Saccharomyces cerevisiae S288C: one gene and its partners. Changing the gene in region 2 together with the main gene of any one other region gives a genetic interaction. Each region holds a gene or a part of one and is shown on either strand. Other genes may lie near its edges. The genes, in order: SAC6, ARC40, SKT5 and SHE4.

The links.
Region 1: mutations in ARC40 (region 2) and SAC6 are lethal when combined (synthetic lethality), as found in Saccharomyces cerevisiae (2 studies listed by BioGRID).
Region 3: mutations in ARC40 (region 2) and SKT5 impair growth when combined (synthetic growth defect), as found in Saccharomyces cerevisiae (3 studies listed by BioGRID, with this or other methods).
Region 4: mutations in ARC40 (region 2) and SHE4 are lethal when combined (synthetic lethality), as found in Saccharomyces cerevisiae (3 studies listed by BioGRID, with this or other methods).

What each region holds. Positions count from the first base shown.
Region 1 is NC_001136.10:710,727-719,383, forward strand, and holds SAC6 (fimbrin), read right to left. Parts: upstream 4,654-8,657; coding exon 4,633-4,653; intron 4,522-4,632; coding exon 2,614-4,521; downstream 1-2,613. Other genes in the region: MTC5 (Mtc5p), read left to right, coding at 1-2,269; FIN1 (Fin1p), read right to left, coding at 5,021-5,896; YDR131C (uncharacterized protein), read right to left, coding at 6,064-7,734; MRX16 (Mrx16p), read right to left, coding at 8,090-8,657. UniProt on the Saccharomyces cerevisiae protein: Binds to actin, and functionally associates with actin structures involved in the development and maintenance of cell polarity.
Region 2 is NC_001134.8:684,746-692,200, reverse strand, and holds ARC40 (Arc40p), read left to right. Parts: upstream 1-5,608; coding exon 5,609-6,763; downstream 6,764-7,455. Other genes in the region: DEAD-box RNA helicase PRP5, read right to left, coding at 1-232; ABD1 (mRNA (guanine-N7)-methyltransferase), read left to right, coding at 508-1,818; VHC1 (Vhc1p), read right to left, coding at 1,938-5,300; DAD3 (Dad3p), read right to left, coding at 6,940-7,224. UniProt on the Saccharomyces cerevisiae protein: Functions as a component of the Arp2/3 complex which is involved in regulation of actin polymerization and together with an activating nucleation-promoting factor (NPF) mediates the formation of branched actin networks.
Region 3 is NC_001134.8:103,134-111,555, reverse strand, and holds SKT5 (Skt5p), read left to right. Parts: upstream 1-4,149; coding exon 4,150-6,240; downstream 6,241-8,422. Other genes in the region: protein phosphatase regulator SHP1, read right to left, coding at 1-119; IAI11 (Iai11p), read right to left, coding at 312-607, 677-962; CMC2 (Cmc2p), read left to right, coding at 1,017-1,050, 1,136-1,431; Arf family guanine nucleotide exchange factor YEL1, read right to left, coding at 1,561-3,624; KIP1 (Kip1p), read right to left, coding at 6,335-8,422. UniProt on the Saccharomyces cerevisiae protein: Activator of the chitin synthase CHS3 which polymerizes chitin, a structural polymer of the fungal cell wall.
Region 4 is NC_001147.6:394,693-402,113, reverse strand, and holds SHE4 (She4p), read left to right. Parts: upstream 1-2,009; coding exon 2,010-4,379; downstream 4,380-7,421. Other genes in the region: CYC2 (oxidoreductase), read right to left, coding at 1-559; SNAP receptor PEP12, read right to left, coding at 900-1,766; YOR034C-A (uncharacterized protein), read left to right, coding at 4,446-4,688; putative palmitoyltransferase AKR2, read left to right, coding at 5,028-7,277. UniProt on the Saccharomyces cerevisiae protein: Required for mother cell-specific ho expression. Might be required for the transport of factors (such as ASH1) that promote HO repression from the mother cell into its bud.

The DNA of each region.
Region 1 (8,657 bases), on a different chromosome or scaffold from region 2:
TTCTGGATTGAAGAAAAACAAGACAAACCACATAACATGGCTCTCAGGAATTAGAATGAATAGCGCAACTTCACAAGAGGATTTATTCAATGAGACAAAAATCCAAAATTTAGGAGAGGAAGTAAGCGCCATTGGTCACAAGTTCCCAAAAGTCGTTTTTGAAAAGATATCCGTGTCCACAAGGGAATTGTGCCTGACGCTTAATGGCCCCTGGTCAGAGGAAAATCCTGATGATTATATATTCTTACGAATAAGTATTAATTTCCCTCTCAACTATCCAAACAAAGGGGACCCCCCCAAATTCACAATTGAAGAGAATTCAAATTTAACCATGAGTAAGAGACAAGAAATACTTTCCAATTTAGCAACAATTGGTCAAAAGTATACTGACTCAAATCTTTACTGCCTGGAGCCATGTATACGATTTGTTTTAGGTGAGAAGGTTAGCCTGGAGGACATCGAAGAAGGGCAAGAACCCTTATTAAATTTTGATATTGCAGATCACATAGATTTTGAAGAATTATCGTCACTGGATAGTTCATATTCCGATTCTCAAAACCCGGAAAACCTTTCTTCGCAATCAGATATAGAGTCATACAAGGAAGCACTGGTATTCCCAGATACTTCGAATCAAGGTTTGGATTTTGGAAGAAATTTAGCTCTTGATACGACACCTGTTCCAAATGGGTGTGGATCTTGTTGGACTGCAACAGGTGAACTCTTCTGCTTCTTTGCAAATGAGAAAAAACCCGAGAAAAAGCAAAATGCAATAATTAAACTCTCTCAAAAAGAAGCAGGGGTAGAGAAGCATCCTTTTAAAATTGAGCCTCAAGTTTTATATGATAAGGAAGTTGACAGCAGTGTAATCACCGCTGCTGATGAATTGAAAGCTCGCCCTAAGCGGTACGTGGACACCTTGGGGCTGGGAGGCGGTACTAATGGGGATTCAAGAACATACTTTGACGACGAGACATCTTCCGACGATTCATTTGATAGTGTCGCGGACGATTGGGACGATATATTGAGAAATGATATAATAGTGAGAACAAAAATTCCAATACTAAGAGGTAATTTTAAAGCTTTCAGCTCAGTACATTCGGAATCCGGGAAAACAGTAGAATCTACCAAAAAAAATAAGAATTTAGTGATTTCCAAAAATTTCAGCAGTTTATTAAGCGACCGCAAAGAACTAGCATTAGAATACTTATTTATGGATGCCACACCGGAAGGATTTGCTAGAAATAACGCTTTGGTGGCAGAAAAGTTTGACCTTGATGAAATTAGTCATTGTTGGCAAATATTATCTGATATGTTGATAGACCAAAGTGATTACGATCCTTATACTACTATATGGAATAACCATCCCATGGGGATAAAGTGGTTCATAAAGGAAGCGATTGTCTACTTTGAGAGGCAACAAAATTTACAGATGCTGGCCATGTTATGCTGTGTCATATTAAGCGCCAGGAGAAAAAAGATTCCAGCCAGATATTATGGGCAAGAATTAGAGAATATGGAAGGAACCATTGTGTTTAATGACAACGAAAGTCAAAACACATCATTTTGGAAAGGATCTGATGCTTTTTCCACCAGGTCTAGGAGTAGCACTGTTACACCAAATTTTTATGGTAATCATTTGAGAGGAAAAAACATTCATGGAGGAGACAACTCCTCAATAAGGTCCGACGACCACCACGCTAGGTTAAGGACGCACAACACTCTTAATGGTAGTAGTAAATTTACGGAGCCGGCCCAAAAGCAGGGCAGCCGTGCCATTTCATCCAGCCCTTTTCATAGTAGAATGCCTGACATCAAAGTCGAGCTTTTACATGACGATATTATAGAAGCTTATGAACAAGAAGACCTCTTACATTTAGAGGTATCAGACATACCAAAGTTCCAAACTTATATTTATCAATATTCAAAGTTACTTTTTAGATGGGGACTGCCTTTAGAAAGGGTCAAAATTCTAAAAGTTAGTACTGATTTCAGAAGTTCTTATAGTTCCCAAGGCATCCCCCCTAACAATAACAAGAAAAGTCCTTACAATGGTGTACTTACGCACTGGATCGAGAACAACGAGTTTGGAGAAGAAAAATTCCTAGCCCGAAATTGTAATTACTGTGATTTAAGAGTGACAAGAAGTAGCTTCATATGTGGAAATTGTCAACATGTTTTACACTCTTCGTGCGCGAGGATATGGTGGGAGATTGGTGATGAGTGCCCATCTGGATGTGGGTGCAATTGTCCGGAAATGTTCGATGCCTAAAAGCTTAACTATCACGTACATTTTCTGCATATTTCAAAGAACCTTGGATGTATATGAAAAAAAGTTCACAGGATATATGGCTTAATAAGTAGTTTATTTACGATTTTTTAATCCAGTAGAGGCATGATAGAAGACGACAACGGAATCATTGAGCGTTGGAGGCATTTTTACAATGGCTCAGTAATCACGAATAAAAGTAGGTGGAAGTTGAAATCTATTATTACATATTAAAAACTTCAGAAATACTTGAGGCTATATATTGTTGTACACTTAACCAATCGTATAACGGAGCATTGGAACAAGAAAGCTGAGTAGAAAACAGGTTACGAAAGTTGTTTGTTGGCTCATTTGTTCAAAGTCATTAACGAAGCGATAAAAGTAATAATTAATCTTGCACGAACTTCGTTGATATCTTCTGGCACCAACCAAATCAAAGCACCCAACTTTCTAGCAATAGAAATAGCCAATCTTGCGTTTGCGTACCTTTCTTCCTCGGTGTTACCAGGGGTGACTAGATCATAATCAACATAGCCCGGCGCGATACCATTCAGAACATCCAATAAGAAGTGGGCGTTTGATAAAGCTTGGTCCTTAAATGATCTAATGGTAGAGTTTTTACCACCTTTAGTTACCTGGTCTTGGGCCCACTTTAATATTTGAGAATCACTCATGTCTCTACCACTTGAGGATAATGTCTTCATGGTTATCGAAATATTTCTACGCATCAATTGCCACACTAACCCTAAGGTCAGTAATTTGTTACCATCTACAATATCAGATCCTTCGATACCAACCAAAGAAAATCCTTTGGCTCTGCCCAAGTCGACTGCATAGTTGGTGTTTTCTAAGGCTTTGAATCTGGATATCTCTGCACCCGAGGCCGGTCTTTTGTTGACATGTTTAAAATCAACAGCACCGGGCATCACCTTTTCGTAAGCTTGCAATAATATCAAACCATCCTTCAAATCATCAAACAGCGAAATGACAGGTGGATCAACGTCAAGAGAGTTCAACCATAAGGTAAAGACTCTTGCCTCTCTCTCACCTTCGGCGTCAAATTCTTCAATTTCAGGCTTTTCCTCTTCCTGAATAGGCTCTAATCCAGGATGTGTATTGAATAGATGTGCCACGAAAGCCAGGTTTAATTTAGGGTTCCCCGCAACTAATGAACTTGGGGTTAAATACTTTCTACAATCTAGCTTTTCAGCATTTTGTAAAACTTGCTCAGCTCTCTCCATTAAATCTGTGGTTTGTAATGGTGCCTTAGAACACAAGGCGGGGTCCAACTGGTTCAACAAGATAGTATAGTTTTCACCATCAGACACGTCTTTTGAAAAATTGGTAACCCTTCTGTTCCAGTTTGCTTGCTTCAAATGGTAGTTAAACCAACGTAGTAGAATTTGCTCCGGAGGCAACCTCAAAAATTGCTCCAACGTTTCATCATCCTCCAATAGACGGTATAACTCAGGATGCAGCTTAATATCAATTTTACTTAACAAACCTCTCCTAATAATTTGCCAAATCAAACCCAGGATCAAATGCTCTCTACCTTCAATAATGTCCTCGGAATGAACATTAACAACGACACAACCAATGGCTTTTGCAGAATTAATAACAATATTAGCATTTTCACTAGCCTGAAAATTATTCAATTCCTTACCCTTCTTAGGCCAATTCAAAACTCTTGTATCGATAGTATCAGGAACAGAGTCGTTGATCAACTTAGATAGCACCAACCCATCCCTACATTCATCAAATAATTGGAAAGTATCAGTAGGAAATGGAAGCAAATCACCTATATCTTGGTCTCCCGCCAAGACGCTATTGATATGTTTAGTAAATTCACGTCTTTCTTCTTCATTGATGGTATGTGTAGTACCTGTTTGGGAGCCAGCAACAATAATCTTGGCTTGAGTACCCTTACCCTTGTGCTGTAGTCCTGTGGCAGCAGTGGAAACAATAGGGGTTGAGTTAGGTGCTACGTTGAAAGTGGTCTGTGGAGCAGCTCCTGTTTTAGATTCTCTTAATTTTGCAACCAACCCGACGTAATCGTCCAGTTCAACACGGCCTGACGCATCCACACCCACATGCTTCAGGGTTTCTCTTGCTTCGTCATAAGTAGCATCACCATCTTTGGACACCGCTTCTAGAGCTTGCTGTTTTTCAACCCATCCTTTATCATCTAAGTCAATGGCTCTGAACTTTTCAATTGTGGAAAAAAGATCCTCTTGAGTCAAAATTGGAAATTTTCTCTAATCGCAGAAGAGTTTGTTAGTATATGAAACGTTTATTACAACCTAAAAGGTAGAAAAAACTTTTTCACTGTGCTCAGCAGTGTGGGAATTCGAGAAAGGCATACATACTTGTAATTTGACAATATTCATTGTGTTTTGGTGTACTCCTTAGGGCTAATATATCAGCTTCTTCTCTGATAATTTTAGTGTAAAGAGCTTTCTTGTTCTCCTGAAATAACCAAAATTTATATCGATAAATCTTCATTATAAACTTCGCCCCGTACTTTTGATATTTTTCCGCCTCCCGAGGAGTGCTTTTTCACATGAAGGCCATCGGGAACAAGAAGAAAAGCCGTTCACGTAAGAAAATAGGACCCTATATCCGGTCAGGATCACTCAAGCTGTATGTAAATGTAATATAGACAAAGCACCTTTAACTGCTAAGAATTAATTATAGTGTCGGAAATATAACATAACTTGCTTACTTCCTGTGTAAAAAATGTGAGAAGGGATATGATTACTTATGTTTCGGTATTTCCGTGAGTTGAAGTTCGATATTGGATAATCTTGATTCAATCTCTCGCTGTCTTCTCAACATTTGTAGTAGCAAGTCCTTTATTTCTTTAAGTTCCACGGTTTCTTCAGTCACTATATTATCAGGTAGTTTAAATTTTACACTTTTCTGGAAACTAGCTTTGTGTATCTTACCTTCGTTCGCCAGCATGGAATTCAGTTTAGTGTTCGATTTAGTAAGGGATTCTATGCCATTTCCCACGTCTTCCTCTTCTTTCTTGAGTTCAACTAATAAATTCTTCCCTTTCAATTTAGCTCGAGGAAGGTCATTCTCAAATGGGGCGTCCTTGAGCTCAGTATTAGAACAGAGGTCAGTGTTGCTTTTGGCATCCGATGGGAGAATATGTTGCTGCTGTTGCTGCTGTATCCTTTCAGGTGACATGAGTCCATTCTTAAACCGGGCCCGTATTCTCGTTAACGAACCATCACCCCCGATTTTATTTTCATTACTGAATGTCAGTTTGGTTGGTGATGTAGGGAATATTATATTAGTTATATGATCTGAGTTTTGGATCTTCACATTTTTATTCGAATTTTTGAACTGAGGCCTATCCAGGCTTTGAGTTTCCTTAGAGACATAGCCCTTCAGACATTCCGGCGACATAATCCTTCTTGGTGTTACTTGTATACTATGCTTCATTCCATCTGTCTTGTTAGGTGATATCCTCATAGGTGGTTTCAAAAACTCTTTTTGGCTTGTCGTCCTCAAAGGGGACATACTCAATCTCACAAAGACATTGTCCTTGTCACTTGGTATATTATTTCGACCAATCGTATTCCCTATGTCACGTAAACTCCTGCGGTTGCTTTTATTGCTCATAATTTGTTTTATTGAACTATGTCACATCACTGCAATCCAGTGAGAACACTGAGAAAGCTCTAACTAGACTATACAATCCATTTGTTTTGATTTCCTCTTGTTGACAATTTGCAGTATTTAGAGTATATATCATTATGTACGTGTTATAACCGCCATGTCTCACAGTATCAACTAAATAGAGCTTCTGCGTCCACCAATTCATAAACAGAGTTGCTTTTATAGCCATTATTATAGAAGAGGGGAACCGCGCATCGTTGTAACTCGTCCACTTGTATTATTTTTGTAGGTATACCGTTGATGGTTAGATATTCTAAGTTCGGCAAACTTTGCTCAAAAACTTTAAATACGTCTTTTAGATAATGAAGGTATAAGTGGTACAAACTAATGGCATCTTCTCTAGTAATTTTATTCACTGTAATATTCTCAGTATTTTCTATGGTGCTTTGCAGATTTTCATTGAACTTTCGTACAAACGTTTCAATAGGTACAGAATCCCATCCCATCGCAGGTGATTCGTTGTCAATAATGTTTGTATAGGGCATGATCTTGTTCTCGAAAAACATTTGGTAAAAGAAATTATGGGCTTGGAACTTATTTGGGTTCTTTAAAAGTTTTGACCGGGTTTCAGGAAAGATTTTTTTTAGAATGACCTCGTGAATTGTATTTTTGCAAGTTGAACAAGGGCAGAAACCATCGAAATTCAAGCGAGTTAGTGGGTTATCTGTCATGGGAAAAAAAAGCCTGTGATTTAGTTGGCAGTGTATGTCAAAACGCTGTAATTTTTTGCCACACACTTGTTTAGATAAGAAGTTAATCAACGACACATCGAAGTCAAATTTACCCATGTAATCAAGTTTCAGTATCTTTAAATTGTGAAACACAGCCAAACAATTCATTAGAAAAAATTCGCTGTAAACCAATGACGCTAATGATAGTTTCTCAATGTTCGGAAATTTCCAAAATCCTTCTAGCCCCCATTTGACATATAACCTGTCAAAACCACCTTCTTCGCCAGAGGGAAAATCGTCGCGACTGTACCAAGACAAAATCTCTAGCTGCCTTAAGGTGGAAGCATCAAATATGTCGATGTATTCTAGCTCTTTTAAGAAGTCATCGGAAGCGTCGTACTCCGCAAGGTTAAGTGTGTCGGGTCGCAAATTTAATACCAATGCTTTGATCTTCATAGGAGACCCGGTATTTTTGAAGTACTTCAATGCGTTTATATGAATGGAAAGTTTTTCTAATCGAGATAGATCGCACTTCAAGAGCAACCGATCAATTTTATTCAAATAAGAACCGCTTACACTGTTATGGGTGGGCATTAACGTTGGTGGCGTTAATGTTAGAGTTTTTAATTGCTTTGATAAAGGTTCTAGCCCCTTGTTAACTGATGAGCGAACAAATTGATCGACAAATTTCAAATTGGATCCATACTCGGATAGCAATTTAAGTACATTTGTCATCACATCTTCATTTAAATGCCATGTACAACGTATTCGATTAATTAAGGGACATAATCTTTTCGGTGACTCTGCTAATGTTCTTTCGAAATAACTAAATTTCACTTTAGCTAGTCTTCTATTCGACATGTCGTTTTTAGTATTGGAATCATCTTCATCTATGTAGTGAAAGTTTAGGACAGACCAATAACAGGTTCCAAATGAGTTATCATAGTCACCATTGATGTGATAGGTTTCATTAAGAAATAAATTCTGGTAGATGAAAGGTATAATTGATTCATAGGATCTTTTGCATACATATGTTAACGAAATTTTATCTTCCTGCGGAATTCTCCAGGCAATTTGTTTAAAAATCTCATAAGGTAACTTATCAAACATTTTTCGGGCCCTTTCAAATTGGCAGTAGGGTTATTTTTATCTATTTTAAGACACCAAAGTTTCTTCTTTTTGCACACATTATCCTACTATTTTCTCTACGTTACTTTATCTCTGGTTTTAAGAGGTGTCTGTATCCTAATTCCCGAAGTCGATTTTTTTCTTACATATTAACTGATAAATAACAAGAGAAAAGAGACAAGAGCCTACAAAAAGTAAGAAAAGAAGCTACTACAGGAATGTGAGTTACAATGGGTTTCCGTTATACTTCAAGTACTATAATGGCATATAAAAAATACAACGGAGAGCATACATATACTTAAAAGCTTGGCAGAAGAGTAATTTTATCAAGCTAATCCTACAGATATTCATATCCCTTGTAGTATTCCTTAGTTCCGTTAAATGCTATAGCTTTAATAGCTATCAGCATAATATTGCCATCTTTCACGGCCAGTTTCCAGAGAGACTTTCTTAAGTAAAGCTTTAAACCAGAACAAAATCTAAGGTCAAGTGGATCAGACACGTCAATGACCCTGTCATTGAATTTATTTTTATCAGTTAGCAAAGTTTGAACTTGAGAAATCTTAATGCCGTTTATGTCCAAATCACAGAGATATATGCATGCTGGAAGTAAATAATGAGTTTCAATTTTCGTCTGCGTACTATCGGATGGGAACCGATACTGGTAATTTTTCAACTTAGGCGCACCAGAGGGTGTATTTGGCAAATGACTTCCAAATAAGGCCTCAAACTTATAGGCGGATTCTCCAGTTATGTCTACATGGATACTTTGGCTTTCCTTATTGAGGATTATCGTACAATCAGTCGAATTTATTTGAAATATCAACTCTCTCGGATGCTTATCTAAAAAAGGTCTCTTATAACAAAGCATATTCCAGGAATCGTTATATTTTTCAGTCATGTCA
Region 2 (7,455 bases):
ATTCATTTTTTCTCTTCCGAAGCTCTTCTTTTACACGTTCCTGTCTTTCCGTAAACTTTTCAGTAGTCTGCTTACCTTCTAAACTGTTAGTAACAATGTCATTGCGTGAAGTTTGATGCTCTTTCTGAGCATCAAATTGTGCTTTTTTTTGTTTCCATTTTGCTAGTTTTTTCCTCCTTTCCTCCAATAAAGACTCCCTATTAATATTTTGCTTCGAATCAATAGTTTCCATACCTCAAATAAACCCAAGGCAACAGCGTTATGATTTCCCTTCTCGAATTATTTGGCGCTGTATTATATTAGAAAGAACTCTAATACCTTTAGTTTGGTCCATTGCTCTAAATGACTTTAATTAGTTTCATCTAATCCGGGTAATGGTAAATCAAGATATTTCAACATAAATTAGAAGATTTCTTATTTTAATCCTTTACATGTGAGACACTTTTCCGATTAATGTGACAACTACTACAACGTGGAGTCGTCCATTATCCGTCTTAGAAAAGTAGAATGTCAACCAAACCAGAGAAGCCAATATGGATGTCACAAGAAGACTATGACCGTCAGTACGGCTCAATTACTGGTGATGAATCGTCCACAGTCTCAAAAAAAGACTCCAAAGTTACTGCCAATGCGCCTGGTGATGGTAATGGATCATTACCAGTTTTGCAAAGCAGCTCTATCCTTACTTCTAAGGTGTCTGATCTACCCATTGAGGCAGAATCCGGGTTTAAAATCCAAAAGAGAAGACATGAAAGGTATGATCAAGAGGAAAGATTACGCAAACAGCGTGCTCAAAAATTGAGAGAAGAGCAACTAAAGAGACATGAAATAGAGATGACTGCAAATAGATCCATAAATGTTGACCAGATTGTCCGAGAGCACTATAATGAACGTACAATAATCGCCAATCGCGCTAAGAGGAATCTATCGCCTATTATTAAGCTTCGTAATTTTAACAATGCGATTAAGTATATGTTAATTGACAAATATACAAAACCTGGAGATGTCGTTTTAGAACTCGGATGTGGCAAAGGTGGTGATTTAAGAAAATATGGTGCTGCAGGTATTTCACAGTTTATTGGTATTGACATTTCCAATGCCTCTATCCAAGAAGCTCATAAGAGATACCGGTCCATGAGAAATTTGGACTACCAAGTTGTGCTAATTACTGGGGATTGCTTTGGCGAATCATTAGGTGTTGCAGTAGAGCCCTTCCCAGACTGTAGATTTCCGTGTGATATCGTTTCGACGCAATTTTGCTTGCATTATGCTTTTGAGACCGAAGAAAAAGCAAGGAGAGCTTTACTGAATGTCGCCAAATCACTCAAAATTGGTGGTCACTTTTTTGGCACGATACCAGATTCAGAATTCATTCGTTATAAACTGAATAAATTTCCCAAAGAAGTGGAAAAGCCATCTTGGGGAAACTCCATTTATAAAGTGACATTTGAGAATAATTCATACCAAAAGAATGATTATGAGTTCACATCGCCTTATGGTCAAATGTATACTTATTGGCTAGAAGATGCTATAGATAATGTTCCTGAATATGTTGTGCCATTCGAAACCTTAAGAAGTTTGGCTGATGAATACGGTTTGGAACTAGTATCGCAAATGCCTTTTAATAAATTTTTTGTCCAAGAAATTCCCAAATGGATTGAGAGGTTTTCGCCTAAAATGAGGGAAGGTTTACAAAGATCTGATGGTAGATATGGTGTTGAAGGGGATGAAAAGGAAGCGGCATCATATTTCTATACCATGTTTGCATTCCGTAAGGTAAAACAGTATATCGAACCGGAAAGCGTAAAGCCCAACTGAAATAAAAATGAATAGAAACAATAACCCTACTATAAAGCATCTGTATTTCGGCCGTATTACAAGACTTCTATATGTAGTAAATAAGTTCTGGGGAAATGCATAACGATATATGTGTTATTCTATAATGCAGTAGTTACTGTCATGGTTTGCGAATTGATTAACATGCATGGAGGTAAGCCCTCCAACCAAATATCCAAGTCCTCGACATATTGTAAACTTGCATCGTGATCTTCATGTGTTCCAAGAGCTGGAACTGGCAAGGTTGAAAAAATTAAATCCGAACTCTTTGACATTTGTGTCATCACATCATTCAGAACCAAATGTTGAGCAGTGCTGGGAAGATCATTGAAACCTAAATTTTGCATCGCTGTGACTAAACTATCTTTTGAACAACAAGGTGATAATTCGGGAAGAACCGGTTTCTTTAATTTGTTGCCGTTGCCAATACCGCTCCCAGTACCGTTCCCATTCGAAAGGTCAGGTTCGGCAATTGGGATCAGTGTCGGCTGTTCACCCGTGCCATCTTCCACGACTCTCGTCCTCGGCAAAGTATTACTCGAGAAAACGGGTCTTAACGACTGTGTTGACACATCGCTTTGTAAATTCTTTACGAGTAAATTTGTTCTGTCGGAACCGGTCTTCGATTTGGTCGTTAAGTCCTTACCTACTGAAATATTAGTCGATGCCGAGAAGGCATCACGAATTGACGTAAGATCTGTATCCAAATCGGAGTCCTCACTCTCGCATGGGGTATCAATGCGGTTAGTTGGCATTCTCGTATTCATTGTAAATGAGACACCCAATTTCTGAACCCCAGACGTATATTTTCTTGATTGTGTAAATTGCTTTGCTATCGTTTGAGGTTCAATAGTGGAAAACCTCCGCTTCGGTTTTAATGTATCACGAGCTTCAACCAAATCTTTCCACCATTCATTATCGGCCAATTTCGAGTTGACATAATCAAACACGATTGGGTCTCCCTTGACAATTGTGTTGTATACTCTGAATTGATCTAAAGATACTACCAAAACCTCTGCGTCAATTCTTAGAACCTGTAATAGCTTTTTCATTCGTTGAGTTTCGTTCGTTCTATGATATTCTTGTTCCACAAATAAAATAACTCGAAGCGAATGTGTGCGCTTCCATTCAGGAACAGTAACCAAAATGGCAGCTAATTGTAGAATCAGTGTATACGTATCAAAGTTAGTAGTGATAGCCGCAGGCTGGTCACCCTTTGCCTCAACTTTTCCGCACATTTGGATGGGATAAAGATCTATAGTTTTTTTTGGAAAGCAGCTGTCCCTTTTGTTCGGTATCTCTAAATTTTTGAATCCATGCGCTATGGCAATATTGGATTGCATCAGTGATAGATCTTCTACAATTTGAACCCATTGTTGTACATTAACTTTGGTTTCATTTTTACACTCATCCGTAGGCAATGGAACATTGATTTTGACATCAGAGCATGTACTACGTGGCACTGTAGCTTTTATTTCCACCTGTTTCTGAAGGTTATTTTGGCTGCGACTTTGTGGGATGTGCTTTCTATAACTTTCGAGGTCAAAAAAACCGACAACAGTAATGTTTGGTTTCATACCTCCAAGCCCGGAACCAATAAAAACATTCCTAATTCCCCATATAAGGGAGGGACCAGTCCCAACTTGGACAAAAGCCTTTATTGCTGCCATGTCTCTGATCTTCATCCAAGCTTTCTGCTGAGTTTTTAATTCATTTAGTTGCTTCGGAAAATCCGCAGTTACTGCAACATGGCCTAAAATATACAAACCACCTTTTTTCAAATGATTGCAAAACCTTATTAAGTTCCAGCTCGTCCTTGGATTATCTACAAACAGCAATATTTGAGGCCTCCAGTATTTAATATTGTCTTGACGTAGGCGAAGCAAATACTTTCTCACTTGATGATATATTAAACTTTGAGACACATCACCCCAAGACTTCGGTGGTGAAAAATAATGAATGAATAAAAATAGCAAAATCATAGCCAAAAACAAGACAGACGCTGAGATGCCATCAACTATTAACATCGCAACAACAGAAAGTAATGCGCCAATTGCTGTAGTATACCTGTTAAAGTATTTGAAAGAGGGCCTGAAATTGGGAGCAGAGGAAATACCTAATAGGAAGCACGCCAAATTCATGACCACAAACGTCATTAAGAATGTCATTGTGATAAATGTGGCGATTTTATTGACGTCTGAAAACAAACATAGCTGTGTTAGAATCCAAGTAAAAATCAATGAATATAACGGTGAATGAGCAAAAATCTCCAAACCAGGAATAATGTTATCCTTTGCAATTGCTTCTAATACATAAGCAGCACCGAGCATCCCCACTATGATGGAGAAAAGAGAAGTAGCCATTTCACCCATGAATATAACCCACTGAACGGAACTGATCGTCTGTATAATTTGTACTTCATCATATAACGATCTTCTGGGAATGGAACAACCCATGGAGAAGACAACAACGGCATAACAGATAAAAGTGAAAAGTAAACCCCATAAGGTACCCTTAGGAATTGATTTAGAGGGCTTTCTCAATTCACTTGACATTCCTGCGCCCGCGAATATACCAGCTGTAGCAGGAAAAAAAACGCCAAATAAATCATTGAATGTTTCCTTACCTTTGAGTAACGAACCTGCTGCACCTTTTGTTAAGTGAGGGAGCAGGTTATCATGAAAAGTTTGCCATGAAGGACCTGTATAACTGATACCGCCTTCAGTGAATGGCGATCTTATCAATGCAGAAAGTGGAATGGAAAATATAGAAGCTGCCAGTACCAAAAAAAGAATATTCCCTGCTCTTGACACTGTTTGCGAGCCAACAAAAGCCACAGAAAAACATAAGAAAAGAATGACCGTGGCATATGTAAATTCGTGCCAATGCCCTCTTGGTAGTAGCTCTCCCAAAGCTGCAGGTGGCTCGCCTTGAGCAGAATAACCCAAGTTATAGAGTAAAGGTTCGATAATACCCACTGCGTTCATACCTGCATTGAACACCTGCCCTAAGAAAAAGACAAGCCCAATGGATCCACCAAATTCAGGTCCTAAACTTCTTGAAATCATATAATAAGCACCCCCGCCCCTAACAGTCCCGTTTGTAGATATAGCAGATATACTTAACGTGGTGAGAAGATTAATAGTGTAACTCAATAGCAGAAGACCGATGGTGCATATAATACCTAACTGACCCAAAATGAAGCCAAAACGAAGAAACATAAGGATAGACAATACGTTTAAAGCAGTAGGCACAAATACCCCATCGTATGTTCCCAACTTATCTTTGTTTGGGTTATCAGGATCATACTTAGAGGAAACTTTTTGGCATTCAGGGGTCGCCTGATAATTGAAATATGTTTGACTTATTCTCCTTGCAGACAACAGTGAAGAAGATTCATTTGAAGAAGATATTGCCGACGATGGCCGATGCGTACCTGGAATCTGATAAAACCTACTAACCATTAATCCTACAAGAAAGGCCTATTCTTAAAGAGAATTGGCTGGCAAAAACACTGTCTCTATCACTTCTTCGACAACAAGCACAACCATTTCTTAGATTTCCTTGTTACTCTTTAACAACAATGTTGATAATGAATCCTACGTTATCAGTTGCACAATTATCAAAATCTTCTTGTCACCCGCCCGCGCCTTGCCTATAATGAAAAAGGGTCAAATAAGAGCAATCTTGATCGAGAAAGCTTCCAGATTAGAAACAAAGAAAAATAGGAAAAATAAGCCGAAGTAAACGTATATTAGTTGAGAGTCTCCTAATGTCATTTTCCAATTCTAAAGACAAGTCCGTTGTTGCCGTCTACAAGCTGGTCAAAGCGCCAATCTACTCTCATTGCTTTTCTCAAGATAAATCTATTTTAGCCGTTACATGCGAAACAGATTGTCTTGTCTATAGAGTTTCAAACAACACACCTCCCGTTTTATTCGCAACGTTGAAAGATCATGATAAAACCATTACTGCTGTGGACATTTCCATACATGGTCGTATTGTGACTTGCTCCCAAGACCGTAATGCTTACGTTTGGGAGCCATTGAGTGATGGGACATACAAGCCCACGTTAGTACTTCTTCGTATTAACAGAGCAGCTACTTCAGTTACATGGGCACCAAATGGTTATAAGTTTGCTGTTGGGTCCAGTGCTAGAATCATCGCTGTTTGTTATTACGAACACGAGAATAATTGGTGGGTATCCAAGCACATCAAGAAACCCATCAAATCTACCATCAATTGCCTGTCTTGGCATGCAAATGGAGTCCTATTAGCTGCTGGTGGTACTGATGGGTTTATGCGTGTGTTCAGCGGGTTTATCAAGGGTTTGGATTCCAAGGAATCCGTCGCCGGATCACCCTGGGGCCAGAAATTCCCTTTTGGTTGTTTAATCAGGGAGTGGTATCAGGGTTCTTATATCCATGATGTGGAATGGAGAAGTCAGATGGAAAGAATTGCTTATGTAGCGCATGATGGTACTTTGAATGTTGTCGATTACCAATCTCCAGTGCAATCTGTCAATGCTCCGGAAGGTTTACCTTACAGGTCCTTAGTATGGATAAACGACCACGAGATTGTTTGTGGAGGATACTCTTGTCATCCGGTATTGTTCAGCGAAGCCTCTGAAGGCTGGAAATTTGCGAAGAATCTAGACAAATCAGACAATAACAAGTCTTCTGCCTTAACTGCATCTGGTAATACAGACGAGCTGAGTGGTAATAATGATGAAAGTTCAACTTTCGGTATTTCCGCATTGAGAAAGTTTAAAGAATTAGACTTGAAAGGTAAAGTTAGCACAGATGTCCAAGAAAGTGCACATGAAAACGCCATTGTGGAATTAAGACCTTTTGCGGAATCCAACGGCCAAATCACACAAGTCTCTTCCTGTGGGTTAGACGGTAAGATCGTCATTTATACAATTTAAATATACATACGTATATATATATATTGTTATGTGTATTCCCTACCTCATAATACACCTTGAGTTTGTATTGTTTTTTTCTTCACTTGGCATATACAGACTATATTATTACAACTCACAGCACAATGTAGTGTACCGTAAAAAATAAAGCATCAGAATCAATTTCTTGCACCAAACCATTATTTAGAATTGCTACCCAAAGACTCCTGTTCTTGCTTTCTTTGCAAGATAAGCGAGTACACGCTACCTTTTAGCAGTGTCCCAACTAAACCAATTTTGACCTCTATGTCCCTCATCTCCTGTAGTATCTCATCTGGCGATACAGTTTCTTGCTGTGAATGCTGTTGCCTGTGTTGCGAATAGTTTAGTTCTTTTATAGTTTCATCCAGAGCTTTTAGATCTAAAGAAAGCTGTTTGTATTTGTCCAATACTTCTTGCTGTAAAGGTGAAAGATTGTGTTCCATACTGTGACTACAACGCCGTGTATGTTTCACAGCGACTTTGACTGGCTACTGTAAGCTCTTCTTTTGTATTCTTTGGAATAGTTTATTTACATGTAATTACTGTAATAGCGCGCAGCCGAGCTAAAAAAAAAAAAAATACAAAGCTTTTGATCAATTTGTTACAAAGAGAAATAATTCCGCGTACGTATTTCTATTGATATTTATATATCTACATTCATTCAATTTATTACC
Region 3 (8,422 bases), 580 kb from region 2:
TAGGAATTTAGTGCTTCATTTAAATCTCCAAATTCAGAGAGATATTGAACGGCTATGTTATGCGACACATTGGTCAATGCCATGAACTGCTGGATGGTTTCATCAGGTATTTCCGCCATACCTAAATAATGAGTTAATTGTTGTGCTACCGACGTTTCTTATATATTTAAATCGAAATATGTTAAGCATACAACTATTAAACCCCTTCCGTTCTTTATTGCCATCGATTTTCGCCACCAATAAGAGTTCTAATGCGGGTAACACATATAAGTAGTGGAATATATTATTGAAACTACTACTATGGTATAACACTATTTACAAAGAGATGAATTGTGTGTCTTAACTAAGCTGTCCACTACTTGCTGGCTTCTTTTATCCAGAGGCATGTTTGTCACTACAAATTCGTTGTTGGCACGCCTTTCCAGACGTTGCTTTAGTTCCTGAAATGATGAAACATCCCAGCTCCAACATGTCCCTGTGATGCCCATACCAAATATACCTAGTGTCATGCCCGTTGCCGCTAAAAGAGAACCTGCAAGACTCTTTTGTGTGTGTGTTATTGTCTGCGTCCGGCTGGCGTAGTTTGCTTGAAAAGTGTTCAATGGCACTATGTAAATAAGTTATGTTAGTAAACGTGTTCTTTGAGTATGAGGCCGAAGTTATTGCCTATGCATACCTTTTGCAGTTATCATTTTCTTCATGGCAATTCTACATGTTATAAGTGTAAAAATAGTGATTCCGAAGAATCGTGTCATCTGAGTTTTCCTCCTCTTTTTATAGTCGTCTATAAAATGTGTGACTTCCTCACTACTGATTTTGGGCTTGTCGTTTCTGCTCACTAACATTATTGTTGGCCAGTCCTTTATTTCGAATTTTCTTCTTGTGTTTACATTATGTTTCAATTCGCATATTACATTAATAGAGAAAGACCTATTAAAAAATCGCTGCGCGTCCAATAACATTCACTGATTTACAAGTGCAGTTGAACAAAAGCAAGATAAGACAAGTACTACAACATGCATCCACAGTTAGAAGCTGAACGTTTTCATTGTAAGTATCCAGATTTTACTTCATATATTTGCCTTTTTCTGTGCTCCGACTTACTAACATTGTATTCTCCCCTTCTTCATTTTAGCCTGTTTGGACTTCATCAATGCACTCGATAAATGCCATCAAAAGGAATATTACAAGAGAATATTTGGCCTTTGTAACAACGAAAAGGATGCTTTGAACAAGTGTCTCAAGGAGGCAAGTTTGAATAACAAGAAACGTGCTGTCATTGAAAGTAGAATAAAGAGAGCTGATGTAGAAAAGAGATGGAAGAAAATTGAGGAAGAAGAATATGGCGAGGACGCTATATTAAAGACTATCTTAGATAGACAGTACGCCAAGAAAAAGCAGGAAAGTGACAATGATGCGAACTCGAAATAAAAGCTTTTTTTCTGTCGCTACTTCATTCACACAAATCATCTCAATATCCCTTGTAAATAAAAGGCAGAGTACAGTTTTCAAGTTTATATTTCTTCAGCGCAGTCTTTATATTTATATCTTTAAATATACTTAGAACTGAACAGAACCCATGGCTTTTTGCAAAGCTTTCAAGTAGCTCAGTCGTTTCTTATATTGATTATTCATATACAAATATCTCGAATTCCAATTATTCATGACTGCTTCAAAATAGTTATCGTCAAAGCTCCAAATTTCGACCAGCTTATCCTTTATTTCGTTATGTTTATCTATCCATATACCAAGCTGTCTGGTGAAGTTCATCAATTCCTTTAGCCTTTCTTTTAGTTCGACCATCTCTACATCTTTCGCATCTTCGTATAGTAGCTCTAGCCCCAATAGTGGCTTCCATTCACTTACAACAATATTTTTAAGATTGAGGGAAGCGTGCTCTGTCAAGATCTTGTCACTCCATCCATATTCTGCGTTAGATACGGCTTCGAATTGTGTTAAAGGAACTGGAGAAATCCTACCTGCCCAGAAGTTGATACAGTCCATAAACTTGTGGGCTTCTTCAACACTTCTCGTCTGGAACTCCAGAACAAGCTTTGGTCCGTTGATATTCTCTGGAAAACTAACGGTAAAGTTGCCACTTTTCCTCTTGGTGTTTTTGTTACACACATTTGATTTCATTGCTCCACTACCTATAATTATATTATCTTGCACGACATGTGCTTCAGCTTCAAGCAGTGAGTAAGCAAAATAAGAGCTACTGATATCTTTGAAATAGTCGATGGTAGCACTGTCTGTTTCACTTGATTGGATGATATCCTTAACATCTGGTTTAATTTTGAAAATAAAAATTCTGCCCTCCTTGACCTGTATTTTCACCCTCTCCCATTCAGAATCCTTATTCAAATACGATAAAGAAGTCCTTCTAGATGTGTGCTCAATAAGTGTAGTCGTTTTAGATGGTTTTAGCCATCCGAAGAACGATTTGTTTCTCTTAGAGGTCATTTTTGGTGCCGCCACTTGATCTTTGTCTCTTTTAGAATATTTACGTGGTAAAGATTTCTTGCTTATAAGAATTAAATCGTCCATGAACCAACTGGAGCCGTTTTCGGTAATTAAACCGTCATCAAAAGACTCTTTAAGGTAGAGTGCATCCATGGGGTGATTATTGTGAAAGTTTTTATTTGATTTTGCGCTCATTTCTCGTACAGATACTTGACCATCTCTTGAATATAGTGTAGTAGAATTAGAGTTAACACTACGTAAATTTGATGTACTAAATTCCCGTGATCCTAGAGTAGAGAACCTTTTCAAGGAAGATTGGTTATCTGATATATTTATTGATGTTCTAGATTCTGTGCATAACGGTAAAGGCGTTTCATTTAACGTTTTATAGTATTCGGAAAGTTCTTCGATGATCAAATGTTCGCGGGAGTATATTTTCAATTCTTCGTATTCATTTTCCTCTCTTAGTGCCCTCAGTGTATTGTTGATAAATGCAACCATGGAAAACTTAATCTTTTTATGGTCAACTTGAAAGTTGTTGTGCAAATCCGAATTAAGGATCAACAGGGAAAATAAGACTATATGACATGACTTATAGCCTGACTTCCAATGTGTGTTCGGGTGGCAAGCTATCCATTCTATGCTCAAGCACTCTAGTATCCGGTCGATATTTTGCGCTTCTGCAATGAAATATATACTTTTCGATAAATTGAAAAGCGTTTCTAATAGTGACGACGGCAAAGGACTCAATAACTTTACAAACTCAGTCAAGACTTGATTATTGTTATCGTTTCCCAAGAAATTTGCATATTCCTTGTAAGATACATCTTTGAAAGTGCCTTCCAAGATCTCTGAGGCAATAAGATGACTATTCTGATCAGTTTCCTCGGATTGAGTGGAGCTAATATCTTCAGTACCAGTCCCCGCAGTGGCGGTATCCGTAGTAGGTATCACAGGTTTTTCGTCATTAGCAGCTTCCTTGTTTTGTAAAATATCACACATGTTGACCATCGTGGGAGACTGTAGCATATTTTTCATGCTAGTGGGCATCGACTTACTACCATGAAGGACGCCCTCACTTTCACTGAAATTGTCATTGTAGCCCTTTTGTGAGACCCCATAGGTGTCATTCTTTTTTACCTCGTTTAAACTGGCGCACATACCTCTTTGCGATCCCTTAATAGTCCATTGACTGCACAAAATTGTACCATCTAGTCAGCCTTACTGATCTCAAAGTTGATCCGTAAGATCAATGAACCGTCTCTATCATCTATAGATATTTTGCACCCAAACATCGCATTTTAAGTTCATTTGATTTAATATAATACATTTGAACATGCCATCGCACTTAGCTGCCATGTATAGGCCATAACTAATCGCTAATTATTTGTTGCAACTATCTGCAAATCTATACGACATATGTACATATGACTTTCACGAGTCTTCATGCATGTTTTAAGAAAGGTCATCGTTATATTTTCCCACGTTTCACTTCGCGTTTTGACTTGCTAAAAAAAGAACGAAAAATTCTTTCTGCAGACCCTCTCGAGGATGATGTAAGATTTAAGAGTAGAGACAAACTAGGTGTTGGCACTTGACTTTAGACTTGCTGTTAATAAGCCTTCCATTGTATACTACCAGGTTCTCGTCTTTTTTGGTGATAAAGTTAAAATAAAAGGATAAAAAATGGCAAGTTCACCGCAGGTACATCCATATAAGAAGCATTTAATGCAATCACAGCATATAAATTTTGATAACAGGGGCCTACAGTTTCAAAACAGTTCGTTGAAGGTAGGTCAAGATTTTTCAGATAATAAAGAGAATAGGGAAAACAGGGACAATGAAGACTTCAGTACCGCAGACCTTCCTAAGCGGTCGGCAAACCAACCGCTTATCAATGAGCATCTTAGAGCTGCGTCAGTACCTCTACTATCAAACGATATAGGCAATAGTCAAGAGGAAGATTTCGTTCCAGTCCCACCCCCACAGCTTCATCTTAATAATTCAAATAATACTTCCTTAAGTTCTTTGGGAAGTACTCCTACAAATTCTCCGTCACCGGGAGCATTAAGACAGACAAATTCGAGTACATCTCTTACGAAGGAGCAAATAAAGAAAAGAACTCGTTCTGTAGATTTGTCTCACATGTACCTGTTGAATGGTAGCAGTGATACCCAATTAACGGCTACTAATGAATCTGTAGCAGATTTGTCACATCAGATGATCAGTCGATATTTGGGTGGTAAAAATAATACTTCCTTAGTTCCAAGGCTAAAAACAATAGAAATGTATAGACAAAACGTTAAAAAATCTAAAGATCCTGAAGTGTTATTCCAGTATGCGCAATATATGTTACAAACCGCACTGACTATTGAATCTTCCAATGCTCTTGTTCAAGATAGTGACAAGGAAGGAAATGTCAGCCAATCTGACTTAAAACTTCAGTTTTTGAAAGAAGCGCAAAGTTATTTGAAGAAACTGAGCATAAAGGGTTATTCAGATGCCCAATACTTATTAGCGGACGGCTACTCATCCGGAGCATTTGGGAAGATTGAAAATAAAGAAGCATTTGTCTTATTTCAAGCAGCTGCAAAGCATGGTCATATAGAAAGTGCTTACAGAGCATCGCATTGCTTAGAAGAAGGACTAGGAACAACAAGAGATTCTCGTAAGTCAGTCAATTTTTTAAAGTTTGCGGCTAGCAGGAATCATCCCTCAGCAATGTATAAATTGGGACTTTATTCATTCTACGGCAGAATGGGTCTTCCAACCGACGTTAATACTAAATTAAATGGGGTAAAATGGTTATCAAGGGCTGCAGCAAGAGCTAATGAGTTGACGGCCGCAGCACCATACGAATTGGCTAAGATTTATCATGAAGGGTTCTTAGATGTTGTCATTCCGGATGAAAAGTATGCAATGGAACTATATATTCAAGCAGCAAGTTTAGGGCATGTTCCTTCAGCAACTTTGTTGGCACAGATTTATGAAACAGGTAATGATACAGTAGGGCAGGATACATCACTTTCTGTACACTATTATACGCAGGCAGCGTTAAAAGGCGATTCTGTGGCAATGTTAGGTTTATGTGCATGGTACTTACTGGGAGCAGAACCTGCTTTTGAAAAAGATGAAAATGAGGCTTTTCAATGGGCCTTGCGTGCAGCTAATGCTGGTTTGCCAAAGGCCCAATTCACTCTGGGCTACTTCTATGAGCATGGCAAGGGCTGTGATCGTAACATGGAATACGCATGGAAATGGTACGAGAAAGCTGCAGGGAACGAGGACAAGAGGGCGATTAATAAGCTACGCTCAAGGGACGGTGGACTAGCCAGCATTGGTAAAAAACAGCATAAAAAAAATAAAAGTATCAGTACTTTGAATTTATTCTCTACTGTGGACAGTCAAACAAGTAACGTAGGGTCAAATTCAAGAGTTTCTTCAAAATCTGAAACATTCTTTACTGGAAATCCAAAACGTGATCGTGAGCCACAAGGTTTGCAAATTAACATGAATTCAAACACGAATAGAAATGGTATTAAAACGGGTTCTGATACAAGCATCAGGAAAAGTTCTTCCTCAGCAAAGGGAATGTCAAGGGAAGTTGCTGAGCAGTCGATGGCAGCAAAGCAAGAAGTTAGTTTATCAAATATGGGCAGTTCAAACATGATTCGTAAAGATTTTCCTGCAGTAAAAACTGAGTCAAAAAAACCTACAAGCTTGAAGAACAAGAAGGATAAACAAGGTAAAAAAAAAAAAGACTGTGTAATTATGTAAGTACACATACTAGATTGTTTTCATTCTTTATAGGTGCAACAGTTTACACTCAATGCATATAGTGATACAAATATTTTACAATGGCTATATCCCCTTATTGATGAAGTTTTTTATTTTGCAGTATGTCATTATTTTCAGTTTCTTCTCCCTTCAATATTGGCTCGGTGGTAAATCTTCTCTTCAAATTGTTCTGCGATTCTCGTCCAGTACCCTCTGTATTTGGTAAGGTCTTTGATCTATTGGACTTGGCCGAGTTTATGCTTTTCGGTATAAGAACTTTTGGTAGAGGTTGATCAGGCACTGGCACTGGGGTTTTTGGACTGAATTGTGAAAGAGGAAAATTTTCATTAGTTGACAAGTTTGGTATACAAGTACGAGAATTAGATGTGTCGTCTTTGCTCTTATTTTCAGCATCCCTATAAATCTGAAATTGTTTTGGATAATCCAATAAGGGTAAAGCCTTGATTACTGACGCTTCAGGTCTTGTATGCTCATGAAGGGGTTTTTCTATGCTGTGAGCAGTGAAAATGTCCATACCCAGTATTTTCAGTGATTGTAGCTTCTCGCAATGTTCAGAAAGCACCTCATCTTGTGTTTTTGAGATTTGCATAATATTCTCATCGTAATCAGTTAATATAAAATTGCACAAAGAATTAAAATTTTCATTTATTGCAATCAAATTGATATTGTTTTCATTAGATATGGTTTCAATTTGTGATTGTATTTCATCTATTAATGACATGATCTTCTCATTTGTTAGGGCAATGTCTGAACAAATTATATTTTGAAATTTTTTAATAGAGGTCAATACTGGATTTGATGCGATTGTGTTATCATCGCCACAGGTTTCACAAATGGTTTGTGATATCTTGTTTAAAAATTCATTGATGGGCAAACTTCTCAGTTTGGAGGATATGTCCATGTTCATTCCGCGTGATAGACTGATTAAATCGTTAGTAAAGCTTTCATTGTTCTGAGAAACCGTTTTCAAAGTGTTTTCAGCATTATGAGCGAGGGATGCTATTGAGTCGGAATGAATTTTATTAACTACGATATCTGTTTCGTTGAAAATAGAGGCCGTCTTCTGCCAGATATCTTGATCCAACTTAGATTGTTTATCTTTTAGGTTATCGATACATTTGTTAAGTTCGTCGTGGAATTCACTACGCGTCCTGGAAACGTGATCCTGAAAATATCGCTTCATTTCAGCCAACTGTTGGTTGAATTGGTTAGAAATCCTGCGCTCATTGATCAGATCGTTTTTCAGTTTTTTTATTTCTAAATCTTGCTCTTTAATTAATTTCGATGATCCTGACTGCTGGTTTTCTATTAAAACATTCATACTATTCAAGTTAGTGGTGCAATTTTGCGATATTTCGTTTATGGAAGTTAGAATTGAACTGCCTATCGAATCAAGACAGCTTTTAATATCGTTTTGTAAATTTTTTAGAAATTGTTGATGTGATTGGTAGATTTCATTCAAATCTTTACGATAGTGAGAAGTAGAATCACTCTGAAATATTTCCAATGAAGTCGAAATACTACGCACCAGTTCGTTCATCTGATTCATCAATAAGTTAGTAGTAATGTTTAATAACGATTTGAGAGTAGAATCGTGTTTCGCCTTATGGGTATTTACGTTCCTGGTTAGTTCTTCGGTGACGCCTTTGATAACTTCGGAACATTTAGAGTTATAATTATTTAAAGAGCCCTGTAAAGTGTTCAAAGTCTGTAAAACTTGTTGAGAGATTTTTAATTGCATGTTCTGGTTCGTATTATACTGTTTTTGAGAATTTTCTAGTGAAAAATCTCTCTGTTGTATGACTTCATTCATTAGTTCGAGATTAGTATGGTGAATTTTTTGGATTTCCGAGTAAAAGTTAGAAAAATCGACATTAAAATTCTGTATTATGGCAATTAGTTTTTCCTTTTCAGACTGTAAAAGATTATTGATATCTAATTGGTTCAGGTAGTTTTCTTTGAATTTTTTAATTTGTTCTCGCAGGTTATGTATTTTTAGATTTTGCTCATCAATCAAGATAGAATTGCTCTCGTAAAGGTCCAACTGATCTTGAGTTATAAATATACCTTGTTTGTTTCTTGAATTTTTCAAATCATTTCTTAATTTTTCAATCTCTTGAATGTAGTCTTTGAGACATGTATCCTTCGATAAAGACTGATT
Region 4 (7,421 bases), on a different chromosome or scaffold from region 2:
GCAAATGAGGAAACTCATAATCGATAAACGGGCCTCTTATTTCAATTATATGTCCCTTGGGAAGATGGTGTAACCATCTTGCAACTTCTCCATTCTCATACTTCTTAATATAGAAAGATAATTTTCCATCTGCATTGTCACCATCTTTTAAGATTTCAATCTCTTTTGAAGCTGGGTTAAATTTAAGCGGTAGAGGCGTATAATTGCGGACCACCATGACTTCCGGTTGTTTGATCTCGACGGACCACAGATTTTCCGCAGTCATCAATGACCATATGTTAACTTTCTGCTTAAACAACGGAGTTACTTCCAATAAAAAATGTGATGAATCAATATCTCGCTTGTGTGAAATCTTGTACTTGACAAAATAAGATGGAGATAACTCATGTTTGTTTTCCCTCTCACTTGTGTACCTGTAGGTTAAATAACTGCTTACTGCTCCAACTGTCAGTAGGCAGCCTGTGATAAAAAAGTTCTTAGAGAAGCTGCTCTTTCTAGGTGACTTATGAAGCCTACGTGTTATTCGGGAACTGGATAGAACATAATTTTTCCACAGCATGCTACTTTTTCTTTTTTTCGTTTCCTCTTTTCTATTTTTGAAGGGTTCTTTCAACACGTTGCACTCTTCGAAGTTGTATTTTTCACTTGGGTTAAGTGAATTTTCACTCTTCATTAGGGTATGATGATATTAACAACATTTCAGAAGGGCAAGGAAAGGCGAAAAACTGAATTATGGAATATACTCTCTCTTTGCGGCTGGTTAAGATGCGACGGCGTAGAAATATTATGAGAGAGCCCATGCATTGTACAGTGAAAGTGCAAAACAAGTTCATTAACACGAATCTGTTTTAAGTGTATATATTATGTATATGATATTTGACGACGTGTGTTGGTTTGGTTTACAATTTCATAATGAGAAAAATAAAAAGAAGCATTACGAGAAGCACAATCAACAAATACACCCTCCATCTGCTCGTACGTTTTTGGTACCGCATGGCCTTCCTTAGCTCGTCTGAAGCCAATTGAGTGTTATCTGACGTTGTATAAATATTTGCTTCAATATTGTCAACTAGCACACCCTGCTGTTGAACAACACTTCCCAAATCTTTAAAAACTTCGTTCAGTTCCGTTATACCTCTTTCAATATTGCTGATTTCCTGGTCTCTTTGCTCGATAAGATTTTGCTGATAAGCAAACTCTTCGTTATTTATCGGGTCTCTCTCAATGACTATTTGGCTGCCTGGTATTCGAGTACTTTTTGAGCTATTCTGCCTTTGTTCTTCATCTAATAAAGCAGCATCATTTGCCATCTCACTTGCTTCAAGAGATTCTTTTGCTCTTTCATTAACTTGTTTCATTACTTGGGTAAACTGCCGCTGAATACCTTGAAACTCTTGAAAAGAGTAACTGACATCCCTCACAAGTTTCTCTCTCGCTATTATTTGAGTCTTATCCAGGCTAGCTTCCTCAATCGCATCCATCTTTTTCACTGATGTATTGACCTTTTTAATGAGCCCGCCTATTTCTTCTATCTTTGCCACAGATCTCTTATTAATTCTTTCCACAACTTTCGCACTAACATCTCCCCGATCTATAAATGACTTAAGTGTCGCGGTAAACTGCTGCAGCGTGCTTATTTGCCCATTTATTTCAAATAACTCTGCAGCAACCTCTTCTTTCAACGTTTGGAACTCAGGTGAATCACTGAATCTGGAACCGTTCCAAACGGCTTCATTATCACCACCAAAAAATTCGTCTTCCGACATCTCAACACAATTATTGTAGTAATTTACGTTATATTCTTCTATAAAAGCATTCTCTTTGGAGTGATAGCAGGCCTGTTTTATAGGGGATTATACTCTGGCGCAGTAGTTCATCGTCGATCATGATGATTATCAGCCGCGATAAGGCACGAAGGCTTAAATCCAATTACGAATCTTCTACTTAATAGTGAAGACGTTTTATCTAAACTACTCACATGAAAAGATTACTAAAAAATTAGAATCACGATGCCACTGTGTGAGAAAGGGAATGATCCAATCGATAGCTCTACTATTGATAGCCTCTGCGCTGCATTTGACAAGACTTTGAAATCCACCCCTGATGTCCAAAAATACAATGATGCTATAAATACAATTTTCCAGCTAAGGCAAAAATCTGAATCTGGGAAAATGCCGGCTGATTTAACGAATAGTGAAGCCCTTAAAGATCGTCAGAAAATCGAAGAAATATTGACCAGGTCTTACCAAGACCATTCTGAGTCCCGCGTACATTTATCTAAACTTATACAGAATGATATTCCCTTCGCACTCAATTTATTTGAAATATTATCAAGATCATCCATCCACGTTTTCGTTGGTTGCTTTTCCAATAAAGACGCAACAATTGCATTGTTAAATGAGCTGCAAATTAGGATACACTATGGCGAGGACACCCACGTCACGTATTTACTGAGCATAATTCTACAACTATTGAATAAGTTCAAGTACAATTTCAAGGAGGTGCGATTTTTAGTGAAGGAACTTATTTTGCGCATAAGCGAAGATGAAGTAAAATCGATGATGCTTATAATTTTTGCTGAATTACAATCAAGCTTCCAAAAAGACTTTGATAAAGCAGTGGTCGATTTCATGAGTAGCTTAATTGTGGAGGCAGAAATAGACGTTGGAAATGATCCATTGTCCATCATAGTCAAAACCCTATCAGAATTATATCCTTCATTGACAACACTTTGTTCTGAAATATTTTTGACCAAAGGACTAAGTAAGCTTTTTAAGAAGAGAGTATTCGAAGAGCAGGATTTACAGTTTACAAAAGAACTGCTGCGGTTATTATCTTCCGCGTGTATTGATGAGACCATGAGAACGTATATTACAGAAAATTACCTTCAACTATTGGAAAGATCACTAAACGTGGAAGATGTACAAATATATTCTGCATTGGTGTTAGTTAAGACATGGTCTTTCACAAAATTAACGTGTATAAACTTGAAGCAACTGTCCGAAATCTTTATAAACGCTATTTCAAGACGTATCATGCCAAAAATTGAAAATGTCAATGAAAGTGCGGTTAAGCTCGAGGAGGTTCCTAAAGTTGAAATGTCCGTTGAAGCGCTGGCATATTTAAGTCTAAAGGCCTCGGTTAAGATTATGATTAGGAGTAACGAGAGCTTTACTGAAATTCTATTAACTATGATTAAAAGCCAGAAAATGACGCACTGTTTATATGGTCTCTTAGTTATCATGGCAAATTTGTCCACTTTACCAGAGGAATCCAATGGTAGTTCACAGTCTATCAATGACTTAAAAAATTACGCAGATTTGAAGGGCCCAGGCGCAGACAAGGTAGGCGCAGAGAAAGAATCAAAGGAAGATATTCTTTTGTTTAACGAAAAGTACATATTAAGGACCGAGCTGATTTCCTTTTTGAAGAGGGAAATGCACAATTTGAGCCCCAATTGTAAACAACAAGTGGTTAGGGTTATATATAACATAACCCGCTCGAAAAACTTCATTCCTCAATGCATTTCACAAGGTGGTACAACTATCATCTTAGAATATTTGGCCAATAAGCAGGACATAGGGGAGCCAATACGGATTCTAGGGTGTCGGGCATTAACAAGAATGCTAATATTCACTAATCCGGGTTTGATATTTAAAAAATACTCTGCATTAAACGCTATCCCCTTCTTGTTCGAATTGTTGCCAAGGTCTACGCCAGTGGATGACAATCCGTTACATAACGACGAACAAATAAAGCTGACAGACAATTACGAGGCACTATTAGCTCTGACGAACTTGGCATCATCGGAGACCTCTGATGGTGAAGAAGTTTGCAAGCATATCGTATCTACAAAAGTATATTGGTCCACGATTGAGAATCTGATGCTAGACGAAAACGTTCCTTTGCAAAGATCAACATTAGAGCTCATAAGTAATATGATGAGTCATCCATTAACGATTGCTGCTAAGTTCTTTAACTTGGAAAATCCTCAGAGTTTGAGAAATTTTAATATATTGGTGAAACTTCTTCAGTTATCCGACGTTGAGTCTCAACGAGCAGTGGCTGCTATCTTTGCTAACATTGCCACCACGATTCCATTGATAGCTAAGGAACTGTTAACCAAGAAAGAACTAATCGAAAATGCTATTCAGGTATTTGCGGATCAAATTGATGACATTGAGTTAAGACAAAGGTTACTTATGCTTTTTTTTGGATTATTCGAAGTGATACCGGATAATGGCACTAACGAGGTGTATCCGTTGCTGCAAGAAAATCAAAAATTAAAGGATGCTTTAAATATGTCTTTAAAGAGAGGCGATTCAGGACCAGAGTTTTCAGCGGCAATTCCCGTTATCCTTGCTAAAATTAAAGTCTAATATGGAAAGAATCGCCATGTTTAACTCTTCTTAATTTTCACTAAGAAATACAACAGCACCCTGATAATGAACACACAAGAACTATGTAAGATTTTCGTAGCCAGAGAATATCCTCTGGTAGTGGTGCCCTTTATATATTTTGTTCTATTTTTACACCAGAAGTATCACACTACTCTAAATTATGTCTGGTACCCTACGTGTTCTAAAAGAATCTGGGTGAGAGAAAAAGGAAGAAAGTGCTCCTTTTTTTTTTTTTCAAAGGTGCCTCGGTCCGATGGCTTCGCAAACAATAGATGCCAAAGGAAATGATCTTCTCTTTTTCGCTTCTTTATTTTTTTTTAAGTTACGACTTCGTGCAGCCTGGGATGTACCAAGCTTGTTGTTAAACGAGCCTGACTTCTTAATCGCTTAATCTTAGTTGAATTTAGTAGTTCCAGTTTGTATGGCTGCTATTTTTGAGTATTTGGAATCATCTTTCGTTCAGCGATCTTTTTATCATTCACTTTGTCGTTTACAATTAGAAAGCGTCAAAACTTTGCATTTTTCATTTAATAATAACTGAACTCCACCAACTTTTTACTAGCAAGTTGTAAAGTTCATCGGTCAGATAAACATCTTAATTACCTGTGAAATACTCTACTGTTTCTTATGACCAGTATGTCAATTATTGATGATGAGAACGTGAAAAAAACTTCTAATGGGGCAGCTGTTGTCACTGATGTGGCTCAACACGCTGTAAGTGATTCGGACAATAACAAAGCGCAACTTCTAGGCGATGGATCCAACACTGAATATGTGGTTGATATTTTCATTGAAGCCGCTAAGGATGGGGATTTAAAAGTGGTGAAGGACGTGGTCGAAAGTGGAGCAGTGGATATTAATAACGACCGCATTGATGAATTATCCGGCTTACACTGGGCCTGTATAAACAATAGGTTTTCTGTAGCAAAGTTCCTATTACTTAGGGGAGCAAATCCTAACCAGGCGGCAGGCCCCGGAGGGGCTACTGCTTTGCACTGGGCCGCAAGGTACGGTAATATCTACATTGTTGACCTGCTTCTCAAACATGGCGCTGATCCGACGCTCAAAGATGAGCAGGGTCTTAACATCATGCATTTTAGCGTTTACAGTTCTAACATTTTACTTGTTGTTTATGTTCTTTATTTTGTCGTAAACAACAATGACAACGTCGATATCGATTCAAAAGATAACAATAACAGAACACCCCTACTTTGGGCTGCTTATCAAGGAGATTTTCTCACTGTAGAACTTTTATTGAAATTTGGCTCCACAGTTGCATGGACGGACAACAGAGGGTTCAATGCTCTCCATTGTGCTCTAGTTGGAGGTGATCAAAGGGTCATATGTGACTTAATACTTAGCGGTGCAAATTTCTACGAAAGGAATAACCAGAAGCAAGACTGTTTTGATCTAGCCGAAGGAATGGGAACCAAATCACTTTTTGAACAAGCGTTGCAACATCATGGATATGACAGGCTTGGAAATCAGAAAGACAAACTGTTCAAGAAAAGCTCGCATGCACAATTCACAATTTTTTTGTCACCATTTTTACTCATGGTTTACATATACTTAATTTCTCTCGTTCTTTCTCCAGTGCTAGCCATTATGCTTTCCCTACTGGTCACTGTTGTCATGGTCAACACATTAAAGAAGTTTGTATTACCATGCCTTCCCAGAAAAAACACTTACAAAGTTTCTTTGACTAGAACTCCCTTTTTCAGTGGCCTCTTTCTGTCCACTTTCTGTTTTTTAATATATATATGGACGAAGAAACTCTATCCATATAGTGTATCTGACTATACCATGAAAAACGTCCAGTTTTTGGTTACTTCCTTTCTCACAGTTGTACTATTTCTGAGATTAGTACGGTCAGATCCTGGTTGTCTGAAAACGGATGATAGTTTGACTTCGATACAAGAAACAATAAAACAACTGATTGACTTAGGGAAGTTTGATAGGGAAAACTTTTGTGTTGAGACATTAGAAAGGAAGCCTTTGAGGAGTAAATATTCTTTCTTTAGCGGCGCCCTGGTGGCCAGATATGACCATTATTGTCCATGGATTTATAATGATGTTGGCTTAAAAAATCACAAACTTTTTGTCTTCTTTGCTGTGACGGTCCAATATCACATGTTTTTGTTCATGTGGTTATGTCTGGCATATTTTAAGAAAACGAACTATATTTACGAACAAGTTGAAGAATATGCAAGATGTGCCCTGCTCAAGAATGAGACTTTGTGTAAGGGTTCTAATTACGATCCCTCTACCTTTTTTTTATTCATTTGGATTAGCGTAAACTTCATCTGGCTGGGGGCTATGTTGATTGTCCAGTTCTTCCAGATATTAAAAGGAATCACGACTCCTGAATTGTTCATCTTAATCAAGGAGGAGCACAAGGCAAAATTTATCAATCTGATACCCTTCGAAAACTCTATATATACCAGTGAAAGTAAAGGTGTTGAAGATAGTGATATGATTCCTGAAGGTCCAAGTGCGACCACCATTACTCACACAATTTCTATTGATGGTTTGGAACCAAGAAATAGGCGCCGCGCCATTCTTAGCGCTTGCTTTTCAATGATGGGTATTAATCAATGGCTCGTTACTATTAAGGAAATAGTAGGTATAACCCACATTTTGCATGGACAGGTTCCACAACAACATCACAGTTCATTGCTTCGAAGTTTCTTAGTGACAAATCACTGGAAGACGAATTTGACGGATTTTTGGCTTAATAGTGATGTAACAGCGCCCTTGTGGCAACGATTTTTCTATTCTTCGGATACTTCAAAAGCTATGTTGGGTGGAACTGAGGTTGACTACTACGAGCTATACGAATATCCGGCCCGAGAAGGAGAAGTATTACGTCCAAACTAAGTTCGCGTTTTATTTAAATTTTTTTCTTTATAGGGCATTATTTGTACTTTTTTTTCTTACGCGTCTTTAGCAAAGGCGGGAAGTACAATAACTAGTTTTGTGCACAACAAAAATTTGCGTGATTGATAGAAGGCAAAAGGATCT